3 linked regions of the Daphnia pulex genome follow. The protein of the gene in region 1 purifies or fractionates together with the protein of each later gene. This does not show direct contact. Links are inferred from orthologs where the notes say so. Each region holds a gene or a part of one and is shown in the gene's direction. Other genes may lie near its edges. The genes, in order: RNA cytidine acetyltransferase-like, protein AATF-like and THUMP domain-containing protein 1-like.

Region 1 (4,249 bases):
TATCGTACGGTTTCCGAATGATTAAATTACGCGGAGGCAAGACGTAAACAGTTGAAATTCTTTGATCGGCTCAGACCAGTCAAATGAAATTTCTTCTACATCTGGCGGTCATCTCCAAACTTGTTTTCTTTTTTCAATTTTTGTTCCAATATTTACATTAAGCTATAAGTTGTAATAATTTATTTTAAAAAATTTTATTTTTTGTTCTGCTTTTGAAAATTTGTAATCACTACTCGGAAATTGATTGTTTGTTCATAATTTTTGTGGGCGACTTTCATTTGAGTTTGTTTTAAGTTGTGTTTTTTTTTTTTTATTGTGACATGACCTGGTTTTGTGAAGAACGGGTGTAGTTAGGTTTTGTCGGCCGAAATGGAATTGTTAAATTTTACGGATCGAAAACCTCCCCTACCATCTCCGGTTCCTGCCCAGCGTCCTGTTCTGCCTCCGTACCCTTCGCCAATTCCCACCCGGCCTCCGCAATCACTTCCCGTTAGACCTTTCCCTTCAGTTCCTCTGCAACCACTTCCAGCTCCTCCTTCAGTTCCTGTCTATCCGCAACCGTTTCCAGCACCTTCATCACTTCCTGTCCGGCCTCTAATGCCGCCACCTACTCCTGCCTCCACCACCACCAACAACTGTCAAACCAGCCAGGCCCATTACCACTCGACCCACAACAACATCTCTTTCTCCTGACAAGTACTGGAAGCAAACTTGGACTACTTCGGCTCCCAATTTGATCTGCAACAAGAGGTGGTGTTGGGACGGTCAAATGTTTTTCGACACAATAGGCGATTCAACTGAGAAAAGCGTTAATATTTTCAAAAAACCTACACTACCGTGAAATGTGTTCACAATTTGATCACTAATACGCTCAATGCCTCGGAAACAATTAAACCAACGCAATAATCAATCAAAATTTAAATTATTAGCGTACACAAACATAAAGTCTTTCCACCGTAGATGTTCGTAGACGTGTCATACAGACAAATTTGTTAGGTACAAAACAAGCCTGATCTGCAGTCGTTCAAATGAGTTGTTTAATGAACCCTGACTGAGTAAACGAAAAAGGCTAAGGAAAAATAGTTTCAGTCCACCGCCTAGCTCAGGAATAATCGTACTCAGTACTATCTAAGTATCTAACGATTAATAGTATAGATTTAATAGTCAACAAGGAAGAATAGAGGTAAAATTTTTTCCTACCTTTAAGCCTGGGAAATACGGCCAGGCATCCATTCCATCCACAGAATAGTTGACTGTTACACCAGCCGCGAGCCCGCGAAAGAGAATTAAAGAGCAGTAGTCCGAGTGGTGAGACAGGGCTTGTGTGGTAGTAGTTAATGGCGGCCTCTATGATCGAGCATGACATACACGTCTGTGATTTAAACATTGGGACTGTCTCCTCGAACAATTTGTAATATTTCTGCTAAAAATGGTGCGCAAAGAGTTGGATAAGAGGATTCGCACCTTAATCGAAACTGGAGTAAAACAGGGACATCGATCCATGTTTGTAGTTGTCGGTGACAAAGCCCAGGATCAGGTATAAATAATAAAACTAACCATGTTTCTTTTGAGAAGAGACAACATGTGACACACTATTTTTTGGTTTCTTTTTAAAGACGGTTATTCTACACAATATTTTATCAAAGACGACAATCAAATCAAGACCCAATGTCTTGTGGTGTTACAAGAAAGACTTGGGTTTTAGCAGGTATTACATTTTTTTATTTTTGAAAGATGGGGATGCTTAAACATGTTTTTGGATACTTACAGCCATCGTCAGAAGCGAATGAAACAGATGAAACAAAAGAGAAAACAAGGCAAAGTTGACATCAATGAAGATGACCCGTTTGAGCTTTTCATCCTTTCAACCAACATTCGGTACTGTTACTATGCAGAGACACATAAAATTCTGGGTAACACATTTGGAATGTGTATTCTTCAGGTTAGTCTAATTTTTTGTGTCTACTTTTTAAAAAATTGTAAAACTATCCGTATGTTTTCACAGGATTTTGAGGCCTTGACTCCCAACATCCTAGCAAGGACCATTGAAACCGTCGAGGGAGGAGGCCTGGTTGTTCTCTTGTTGAGATCCATCAACTCACTTAAGCAGCTCCATACTATGGCCATGGATATTCATGCGCGGTACAGGACTGAAGCACACAACGACGTGGTTGGCCGATTTAACGAAAGGTAAAAACCCAAGATAACTTGTACATGTTTTATCACTGCAAACAACTAAAAATATTATTAATTTCTAGGTTTATTCTTTCTTTGGCCTCTTGCAATCGTTGCCTAGTTGTTGACGATCAACTCAACATTTTGCCCGTTTCGTCTCATTCCTTCGAGATTAAGACTATGCCTGCAGTTGAAACAGTTGAAGAATTGAAAGAACTGAAAGCTAGTATGCAAGATACTCAACCTGTTGGTTCGCTTTTGAACTGCTGTTGCACTCTTGACCAGGTAATTTAACACAATTAAAGAAAACAATGAACTCGGCATTTAACGAAGTACCGCATTTCAGGCCAAAGCTGTTCTCAAATTTGTTGAGTGCATTTCGGAAAAAACATTGAGATCAACAGTGGCGTTGACGGCTGCTCGTGGACGTGGTAAATCAGCCGCATTAGGACTGTCGATGGCAGCTGCAGTTGCCTTTGGTTACTCCAACATATTTGTCACAAGTCCTAGCCCGGAAAATCTGAAAACTCTTTTTGAATTTATTTTCAAAGGTGAGACTTGTTTGAGATCTAGTTGTGAAAAGTATTTTTCTAATTCCCAACATTTCAGGCTTTGATGCACTTCAGTACAGCGAACATGAAGACTACAGCATCACGCAGTCGAGCAATCCTGAATTCAACAAAGCCGTAGTGCGAGTAGATATTTTCCATGATCATCGACAGACCATCCAGTATATCCATCCGACAGACGCAGCCAAACTTGGCCAAGCTGAACTGGTCGTGATTGACGAAGCTGCAGCCATCCCTCTACCACTTGTAAAAGCTCTGCTTGGGCCCTATCTGGTTTTCATGGCATCCACCGTCAATGGGTAGGCTCGCTTGTGAAATATTAAAACTGTACACGTCAAGTTGATAATTGCCCGTGTTTTAGGTATGAAGGTACAGGCCGATCTTTGTCACTCAAGTTGATTGAACAGCTGAGAGTGCAAAGCCGACCCATGGGTGCTTCTACTAAACACAAGGAGATCGATTCAAAACTTCTGGGACGAAGCTTAGCCGAGGTGAGTTTATTTAGAATGGATTTTTTTGGGATTTATTGGTTAATTTTAGTTCGTTTTTATGTAGATTACTTTGGATGAATCTATTCGATACCGGAACGGGGACGCTTGTGAAGCTTGGCTGAATCACCTTTTATGTTTGGACGCAACTTTGGCTCCGCCTATGCCGGCAGGTTGCCCATCACCCGAGAATTGCGACCTCTACTATGTGGACAGGTGAGCTTGATTTAAATATGACTTGTTTGTTTGTTTCTAATTTGCTGAGTACTAAATGGGAATTTAGGGACGCGCTATTTTCCTACGATAAAGCATCAGAAGCTTTCCTTCAGCGTGTCATGTCCTTGATGGTATCATCACATTACAAGGTAAAACCAGACTACCTTTTCTTTACCCGTGCATCTTTTAATCCACGCCATTTAACTTGTTGATTTTAGAACACCCCCAATGATCTTCAAATGCTCTCTGACGCACCTGCGCATCATCTTTTCTGTCTGCTCGGGCCTCTGGCGTCATCAGGAGGCAAGACGCATGAAGTGTTTTGCGTCATTCAAGTCTGCCTTGAGGGTGACATTTCAAGCGCATCCATCATGCAAGGACTGGCTCGAGGACAAAGATCGTCTGGTGACTTAATCCCTTGGACCGTGGGTACGCAGTTTCTTGATCAAGATTTCCCGAAACTATCTGGAGCACGCGTCATCCGCATCGCCACTCACACGGATTACCAAGGCATGGGTTATGGTAGCCGTGCACTGGAGTTGCTGGAAAAATACTATGAGCGAAATATGATCAACATGGAGGAAACGGAAGAGTCCGAACACAAAGGCCTCAAGATTGTCAACGAAGAGACTGTTGGCGAGCTCGGGAAGGATCAAGGAAAATCACGAAAGTTGCGACTTTTGCTGAAACTTAGTGAAAGGAAACCGGAACGGCTAGACTACCTTGGCACGTCTTTTGGTCTGACTGGACCTTTGTTGAAATTTTGGAAGAAAGCTGGTTATGTTCCCGTCTATCTCAGGT
Region 2 (4,021 bases), on another chromosome or scaffold:
GTTGAGGATTCGGAGCCCATGTGATACCGTTGTTGGTTTCGATGATGTGGATTTGGTCACTATCAGTGGACGTCACTTTGTTTGCCCCCAGAATGTAAGCTTCTCCGCCAGTTTTAACGAAGTGAGAAAACCGGTTCAAATTTTTACGAACGGTTCCTTTACCGTCTCCCAATTTCAACCCTGCCATGTTGACATCAAGCGCACTACCAACGTCGCTATTGCTTCTCCCACCTGCAGCAGGGTTTCCCGGATTGCTACCTTGGTTGGCTTCAGAAACGTCATCATCCCAGTCGTCATCCCAATCATCGTCGTACTGGAAGTAGATTGAAAATACCTTATTAATACAGTTACCAGGAATCTCCACAATGTTTTTGGAATACCTGTGATTGTTGCTGTTGAATCGCTGGAGCTACATTTTCCTCTACGTATATCTGGGGCAATGGAGGAGGAGGCATAGCAGGAGGTGCATTGTAATTTTGTTCAATAGCCTGTTGAATTAATACAATAAAATGGTTTTTTGAGGTTTAAAATAATTCAATTTACATGTTATTAATACAGAAAAATCCAAATGATACAAAATTCTTTTCTGGTTTTACACTAGCATGCATGACATAACAGGAGTAGGAAGAAATTCATACCTCAACGTAGGCTGCAGGAAATATTCCACTAACTCCACGTTGATTACTACCTTCCCACCATCCTTCACCAACATCCTTACTAGTGACAGTTAGAACTTCACCAGTAACAATAGATAGTTCAGATGTGCCAGGCTGGCCTTCAAAATCATAAAGGACGCGCGCCTAGAAAAACGATTCATTTTGTAAATTAAACTGGTTTCGAAACCGGATATGGTTAATGAAATGGTAACAGCAGTTACAGGAGTGAGAAAATTTATAGTTCTAACTAGAAGACGAAACTGATAATTAGAAAAACCGGAATCAAAACTCAAAAGTTACCTGACCAGCCATCTCGAAGAATAAAAACTCAGCTTTTTACAATACCCCTGCTGCTGTGTGCTGTCAAACTGATTTCGTCTCGCCCCCTAATAACAGCTGAGAGGAATGAGTCAGTGATGAGCAGAGCTGAATCTGAAACCAAACGATAAGTTACAAAATCTGAGACCCGAGTGACATTTTAAGGCCCTAATGTTTCTTCTGTCTAGTAAGTAATGCCATCTACTGTAGAAAGATATTAACTGCATTGGTTTGAAAGAAAAACAAAAGAAGTACGATTGTTCGAATTCGTCTGCAACGTGTATTGGTAGTAAAACACGCGACACGCGGTATCAATTATTTTAGAATACTGAAACTTAAATGTATACATTGTGAAACATTTATTTATGAAATGTCGAAAGGCAAATCCCTAAGTGAAAGATTAGCCGAACTTGCCAATCCAACACCTCAGTTTGCTGATCCAGAAGATGAATATAACGAAGGTAACAAATTGAAACAAAATAACACCTACTTGTTTTTCTTAAAGTGTTTCTAATCTTTCTAGAAAGTAAAGCAAGGCTGGAGTCCTTTGATGACCAATATGAGTCGTATGATAACACTCAGGTGGTTAAGAATAAAGCACCAAAAAATAAATCTAATCTACGCCAAAAGAATGTGGAATTATTAGCTGTTTCAGATAGCCGATATGCTGGGAAGCGTGTCAGTCGCAAAGATCTAAATTCTCCTGTAGGAGAAGGCTACAAAAGTTCTGAGTCATCTTTAGAATCTGATAATGAAAGTGGGGAAGAAAATATTCTGGAATTTAAGAACAAATTCATGAAAGAAACAAACAACAAATCAGAGAAACCCAACATCTTCCAGGAATCAGAAGACGAAAGTGGTTCATTGAAATCTGATATTCATGAAGAAGATAGTAATGAAAGTGAATTGAATAAATCTGAAGATGACGAAGAAGCTGATTTTGAAGAAGGAGAGGGTGAAGAGGAGGGTGAAGAGGAGGGTGAAGAGGAGGGTGAAGAGGAGGGAGAAGAGGAGGAAGAAGAGGAAGGAGACATTGGAAGTGTAGATGACAGTGAAGGAGAAGAAAATGAAAAAGTTAAAAAAATGTCAAAAAATTCTCATGATAATGATATAAACAAGGGAAAATCTATCCAAAATCAACTCTCATTATGGGATCATCTTCTTGAGTGTCGTATAAAGATGCATAAAGGAATAAATTTATGTAATCAGTTACCTCAAGCTCCTTCAAATTACAAGCTTTTTACTAAAGCAAGTGGAGAAAACCATTTTGTTGCAGCAGGTCAAGGTGCTCAGGCAGCTATTAAATCATTATTGGACAACTGCCTTGAGCTAGAGGTAATTCCTGTTTTATTGTATTTTAAATTACTTAAAATAATAAAAAAATTAAAAATTCAGGAGCTTCTTCTTAAATCTAATCCACAAACAAAAGCATTAACGCAACGAAAGTCTAACGAAGAGGGCAGGTATTAAATGTTAATTTTTCAGTTTAAAAGGCATTAATTAAAATTTAAAAGTGTTTCCTTGTCAAATAGTGATGAAGAAATTCCAAGTGACACTGACGAAGAAGCTGGAGAAGACGACGAGGACATTGATGATGGAGGACCAAAGCGCAAAAAACAAAAAATAGTCGGATATGAATCCGAGATTGGAGAAAGACACGAAAAATTGCGCGGTTTTTGGCATCGTACACTGAACATGTGGAATGAAAAAACAAGATTAGCATCAGGGAGAACGGGGTCTGGAAGCAAAGCCGGATTTGGGGCTTTTGATCAATCTATCTTGAAACAAATTGAGGGTATCCTTAGCGACAAGCAACGGTTGATAAATCGTACACGGATAAAGAGATCTACCTATCGCATACTGGGATCTATTTCTAAACTCAGTCCCAAGGAAAATACAATTAATGGAAAAGGAGAGGAACACATACAAGTAATTTGATAGCTAACAATCGTTTTTTACCCCTTAATATGTTCAAGTAATTATTGAGTAATTCTCCTTAGGATGACCAACATTTACCCGAAACTAAAGAAGTCGATTATGAAGAATTCGATCCTGAAATTTATGATGACGATGATTTCTATCATCAATTACTTCGTGAGTTAATTGAAAAAAAAACTGGCGAAGCTGGCTCAAATCAAATTGCTCTTGGAAGGTTAGTAGCGTTTGGTGTTGTATCTAATACATGTTGTTTCTAAGTGTGAACTTTAAATGCAGGCAATGGTTAGAAATTCAAAAGTTGCGATCGAAAGCCAAACGAAAAGTCGATTCAAAGGCAAGCAAAGGACGAAGACTTCGATATCAGGTGCATCCTAAACTTGTTTCCTTCATGGCTCCGTATCCTGAGGCTTCATGGAATGACATTGCCAAAAATGAGCTGTTTGCCTCGTTGTTCGGGTCAGGGCCTACTGTTAAGTAATTGTGATGACTGTCTTTTATGTATGTTCTTTATATAAGACGTCTAAATAAACTTTCAGTCTCGTGTGTGCGAACAGCCTATTTTTCTACATTGTTTTTGTTAAAGTATTCTAATGTAGGCTTCAAGAAATTATGGCAAGCCGTTCGCGGCACTTTTCAGGGAACGCACAAACCTAAAAGTAATGCAATAATAGCTGTATAACGTACGAGCACTCGCATAAGCATAAACCTAAAACTAAAGCAAAAACCTTACCTAGTGTCTGATTTGGGACGTTTCATGTAGTCGATATTTGTTATAAGAAGGCAACAGGCAAGAGAGATTACCCGTGATCTAATACGCTAATATACTACATAAAATGCATTCTAAAGCATCTTCCATTACGGTCAATATCTTTTGTAATTATTTTGTAAATACAGTACAGTATCGTCCAAAAAAATCCGAACACCATGGTCTCTTTCTTTCTTTTTTTAAAATTCTTCGAGATTTTTTTCTTAATCCTAAAAAATGAACTTTGTAAAACAATTCATTCTACACATAATATGAAGTCTTGAAAGCTAAAAACAAAAAATATACACTAAACTGGGCTTTTGAAAAAGAGGTGCGTTCGGATTTTTTTGGACGATACTGTACC
Region 3 (3,074 bases), on another chromosome or scaffold:
CCGTTGTTATCGCAAGTTACAGACATGTGCTCAACTTTAGATTTGTTTGGCTTTTCAGAAGTGTTGATCATTTGTTTTTCATTAGAGTTTCCGTTAACGACATCCTCAGTATCTCTAGGACGCAAATTCAAGTTCACTAAATTGTGGGTTGAATTTTCCTCGCTGATATTTGAACTTTTATCCGAAATGGTTGCAGAATATTTCATTGATGGAACATGGATTACATTCTTGTTTTGTTTCATGGCTTCAACATTGTTGGAATCATTTCCCTGCAATTCGTCAGAATCAGAAAGGTTCAGTTTAGGCACATTCAAAACGGCAAGTTTCTCTTCTTCAGCCGCTTTGTTCTGCATCATTTTTAAAAGTACAGGGCTAGGCGCTTCCAGTGTGTAAGATAAGCGCCGCATTCTTTGAGATTTAATAGGGGTTGAACAGTCTAAGCTCGTAGAAATATCAGTATCGGAGATGGTCAATGCCCGTGGTGTTGAAGTTCCAGATTCTGTTGAGCTAGAATCTGAATCTGAGTTTTGCATGTAAGGTCCTAGATCAGTGCTTACAGCTGATGACTCTGAAATGCTAACATCTTTGCAGTCTTGTTTCATGGACAAAAACTTCTTGTGGAGATTCTCAATTGAAACGTCATCAAGTAGTGGAGTGGATGGTAATGAATATGATGTTACTGGCAGCGGTTTAATTGTTGGCTGAGAAAGAGAACTGTTGATCTTCACTGGTGTTTGCAATAAAGGTTCACTGATGAGACGATACTTTGAGGGTGTCACTTTTGAAACATTCAGCTCATCAAGTGTCACACATTTATCAAGAATTATTTGGACTTGCTCCAAAAGTTGGGCCCGTCGTTTTTCTTTCAATCGGGACTCAATTGCAACAGCTTCATCTCTAATTTTCCGCATTGCTCGTCGTTTATCATCATTCATCTGGACAGAGATAGTTGGAATGGTTAGGTATACAAAGAAAAAATCATGTCACAGAAATCAAAACTTACAAGAGGTGGAAGAATAGGTTTCCCTTCCACTCGAATGCATGAGACGTAGTTTGTATTTGTGTTTGACATTTTGAACAACCAGATTTCATTTCCTACATGTCACGCTTGACAAAAATGGTAACCAACGTTTCCACAGCTTCCAGCTCCCACACAAACTTTGAACATCTGTCAGAAGTCGATCGGTGCGTTCACAAATGACCTACGCATGGAAAGAAAATTTATCGATGAATACGATTTGAATTGAAGATCAATACTATTTCAAATTTTTATTAATATAATTTTAAAATCTAAGAAGGCAAAATTATATATATATTAAGTTATTAAAAATATATAAGAAACTTCGTGTATTTAGTTTTAACGGTTGTCGCTTGGGGTTGTATTTCGAGCCCGTTTTCCACTTTTCCGTCTGCTGCATTCGAGTTTCATATTTAACACGCGCACTTGAGCAAGTTAGCCATTAGCATCCTTTAACATTAGCATTTAACGATGTCTGAATCCGGAAACAAACGCAAAGCCAAAGACAAGGCATATTATATCAAATCTGCAAAGCAGGCTAGGAAATCCTCCAATGAATTAGGGCCTGGACAGAAAGGTTTCCTATGTACTTCAAACAGAGAAAAAGAAAGTGTCAGAGAAGCCTACAATGTAAACACAACAAATAATTTGTTTTATTGTTCATAACTAACTTATCCTTTAAGATTTTGAATGAGTATGCTGATATCATTTATGGTAGTGAAAAACCAAAGGAGGAGCCTGAATTGTCAGAGGTTAAAAAAGAAGAAATTGAAGATGAGTTGTCTAAAGAAATGGAGGAATTAAAAAAGAAGCAAGCTGCACCTGTTTCTGAAAGAAGATTCCAGTGTGTTATGACTAACATTAAAGGATGCATTTTTATTCGCTCAACAGTAAGAATTTTTAGTTCTTTTTATGTAAGTTCAAGCTTAACAGTTCTTTTCTAGGTTGAAAATCCTTCAGCAGTTGTAGATGCAATAATTAATGATATTGAAAAGAAAAAGCAGCAAACTACAAAATTTCTGTTACGTATGCTTCCAATTCAACTGACTTGCAAGGTATTTTACCCAATATTGATGTATGCACTACATTTAATAAATAATTTATGATCATCTTTGAAATGATAGTCTGTGAAGGAAGATATCTTGAAAGCAGCTGAGAATCTCATTGACCAAATGGCTGATTACAAAACATTTTCTCTCCTCATCAAGTAAACATCATTCATGTTTTGACTGTGAAAATTAATCATGAGTAATTCTAATAATTTTTATCCAGGATAAGAAATCACAATATCAAACGAGATGCCCTAATAGAACCAATCGCGGAAATGGTTTCGAAGAAGTTTCCTGAAATTAAAGTTGATCTCGACAACCCGGAAATAAGTATGGTCGTTGAGGTGCTAAGAGCAACATGCTGTTTGGGTGTAGTTACAAATTATTCAGGACGAGCCAAGTACAATCTTGTTGAAATTGCTCAGAAGGCCAAATAAAAATCTTTGACTGCAATTTAATTTTTCTTTTCATTGTAAATTATGATTTAAGTTTTCATACAGATGAGATGCTTTGGCATTTTCAATTTGTTTGTTGTTGCAAATTTTGCCAGGCTCAACATGTACTGTATTATTAGGACTACAATTGTATACTGCTCTCAGTAGAGGATTAGGATTTTTTTCTTGTTTGGAGATCATTTCCTGAGTTAAAAGAAAAATAATTAAAATTTTTTCTACACATAAAAGAAAACATTTCATTACTCTCAGAAGAGGAGGAAACTGGATAAATTCAGGCAATGGTTTTTTCAGTTTTTCTACATCTTCTGCTTTCATTGTCCGGCTGAGGTAAAACTCTTCTTCATCTTTCGGAATCAGTTTGAAGTCATTCTTATAGGCAGTTTTGGACAAATCAAATTCTCCAAAAGACTTTCCTCTAAATACCTTTTCTACAAGTACTCTTCCAAATAAATTTTCCTGGATAAAAAATTATAAAAAATCAAACGAGATTATAACTTGAAGAGACAAGAAGAGATAGTACCTCGTCCATGAGCGGCTCAGCGCGTATAATCT

Evidence for each region.
Region 2: the proteins of RNA cytidine acetyltransferase-like (region 1) and protein AATF-like purify together in Homo sapiens (affinity purification with mass spectrometry; 3 studies listed by BioGRID and IntAct, with this or other methods). This does not show direct contact. The link is inferred for Daphnia pulex from reciprocal best matches to the Homo sapiens genes NAT10 and AATF.
Region 3: the proteins of RNA cytidine acetyltransferase-like (region 1) and THUMP domain-containing protein 1-like purify together in Homo sapiens (co-immunoprecipitation; 3 studies listed by BioGRID and IntAct, counting the BioPlex papers as one, with this or other methods). This does not show direct contact. The link is inferred for Daphnia pulex from reciprocal best matches to the Homo sapiens genes NAT10 and THUMPD1.

What each region holds. Positions count from the first base shown.
Region 1 is NC_060023.1:8,182,895-8,187,143, forward strand, and holds the start of RNA cytidine acetyltransferase-like, read left to right. Parts: upstream 1-1,304; 5' UTR 1,305-1,429; coding exon 1,430-1,537; intron 1,538-1,616; coding exon 1,617-1,708; intron 1,709-1,770; coding exon 1,771-1,942; intron 1,943-2,005; coding exon 2,006-2,190; intron 2,191-2,258; coding exon 2,259-2,460; intron 2,461-2,521; coding exon 2,522-2,726; intron 2,727-2,784; coding exon 2,785-3,043; intron 3,044-3,105; coding exon 3,106-3,235; intron 3,236-3,299; coding exon 3,300-3,448; intron 3,449-3,515; coding exon 3,516-3,597; intron 3,598-3,666; coding exon 3,667-4,247; intron 4,248-4,249. UniProt on the Homo sapiens protein: RNA cytidine acetyltransferase that catalyzes the formation of N(4)-acetylcytidine (ac4C) modification on mRNAs, 18S rRNA and tRNAs.
Region 2 is NC_060028.1:5,997,724-6,001,744, forward strand, and holds protein AATF-like, read left to right. Parts: upstream 1-1,229; 5' UTR 1,230-1,344; coding exon 1,345-1,435; intron 1,436-1,497; coding exon 1,498-2,309; intron 2,310-2,369; coding exon 2,370-2,437; intron 2,438-2,506; coding exon 2,507-2,903; intron 2,904-2,974; coding exon 2,975-3,126; intron 3,127-3,188; coding exon 3,189-3,390; 3' UTR 3,391-3,470; downstream 3,471-4,021. Other genes in the region: sorting nexin lst-4-like, read right to left, coding at 1-313, 381-488, 639-800, 957-968. UniProt on the Homo sapiens protein: Part of the small subunit (SSU) processome, first precursor of the small eukaryotic ribosomal subunit.
Region 3 is NC_060018.1:5,172,267-5,175,340, reverse strand, and holds THUMP domain-containing protein 1-like, read left to right. Parts: upstream 1-1,358; 5' UTR 1,359-1,489; coding exon 1,490-1,648; intron 1,649-1,701; coding exon 1,702-1,908; intron 1,909-1,962; coding exon 1,963-2,073; intron 2,074-2,142; coding exon 2,143-2,225; intron 2,226-2,290; coding exon 2,291-2,504; 3' UTR 2,505-2,520; downstream 2,521-3,074. Other genes in the region: uncharacterized protein LOC124210585, read right to left, coding at 1-935, 1,004-1,072; 28S ribosomal protein S34, mitochondrial-like, read right to left, coding at 2,535-2,705, 2,766-2,978, 3,043-3,074. UniProt on the Homo sapiens protein: Functions as a tRNA-binding adapter to mediate NAT10-dependent tRNA acetylation modifying cytidine to N4-acetylcytidine (ac4C).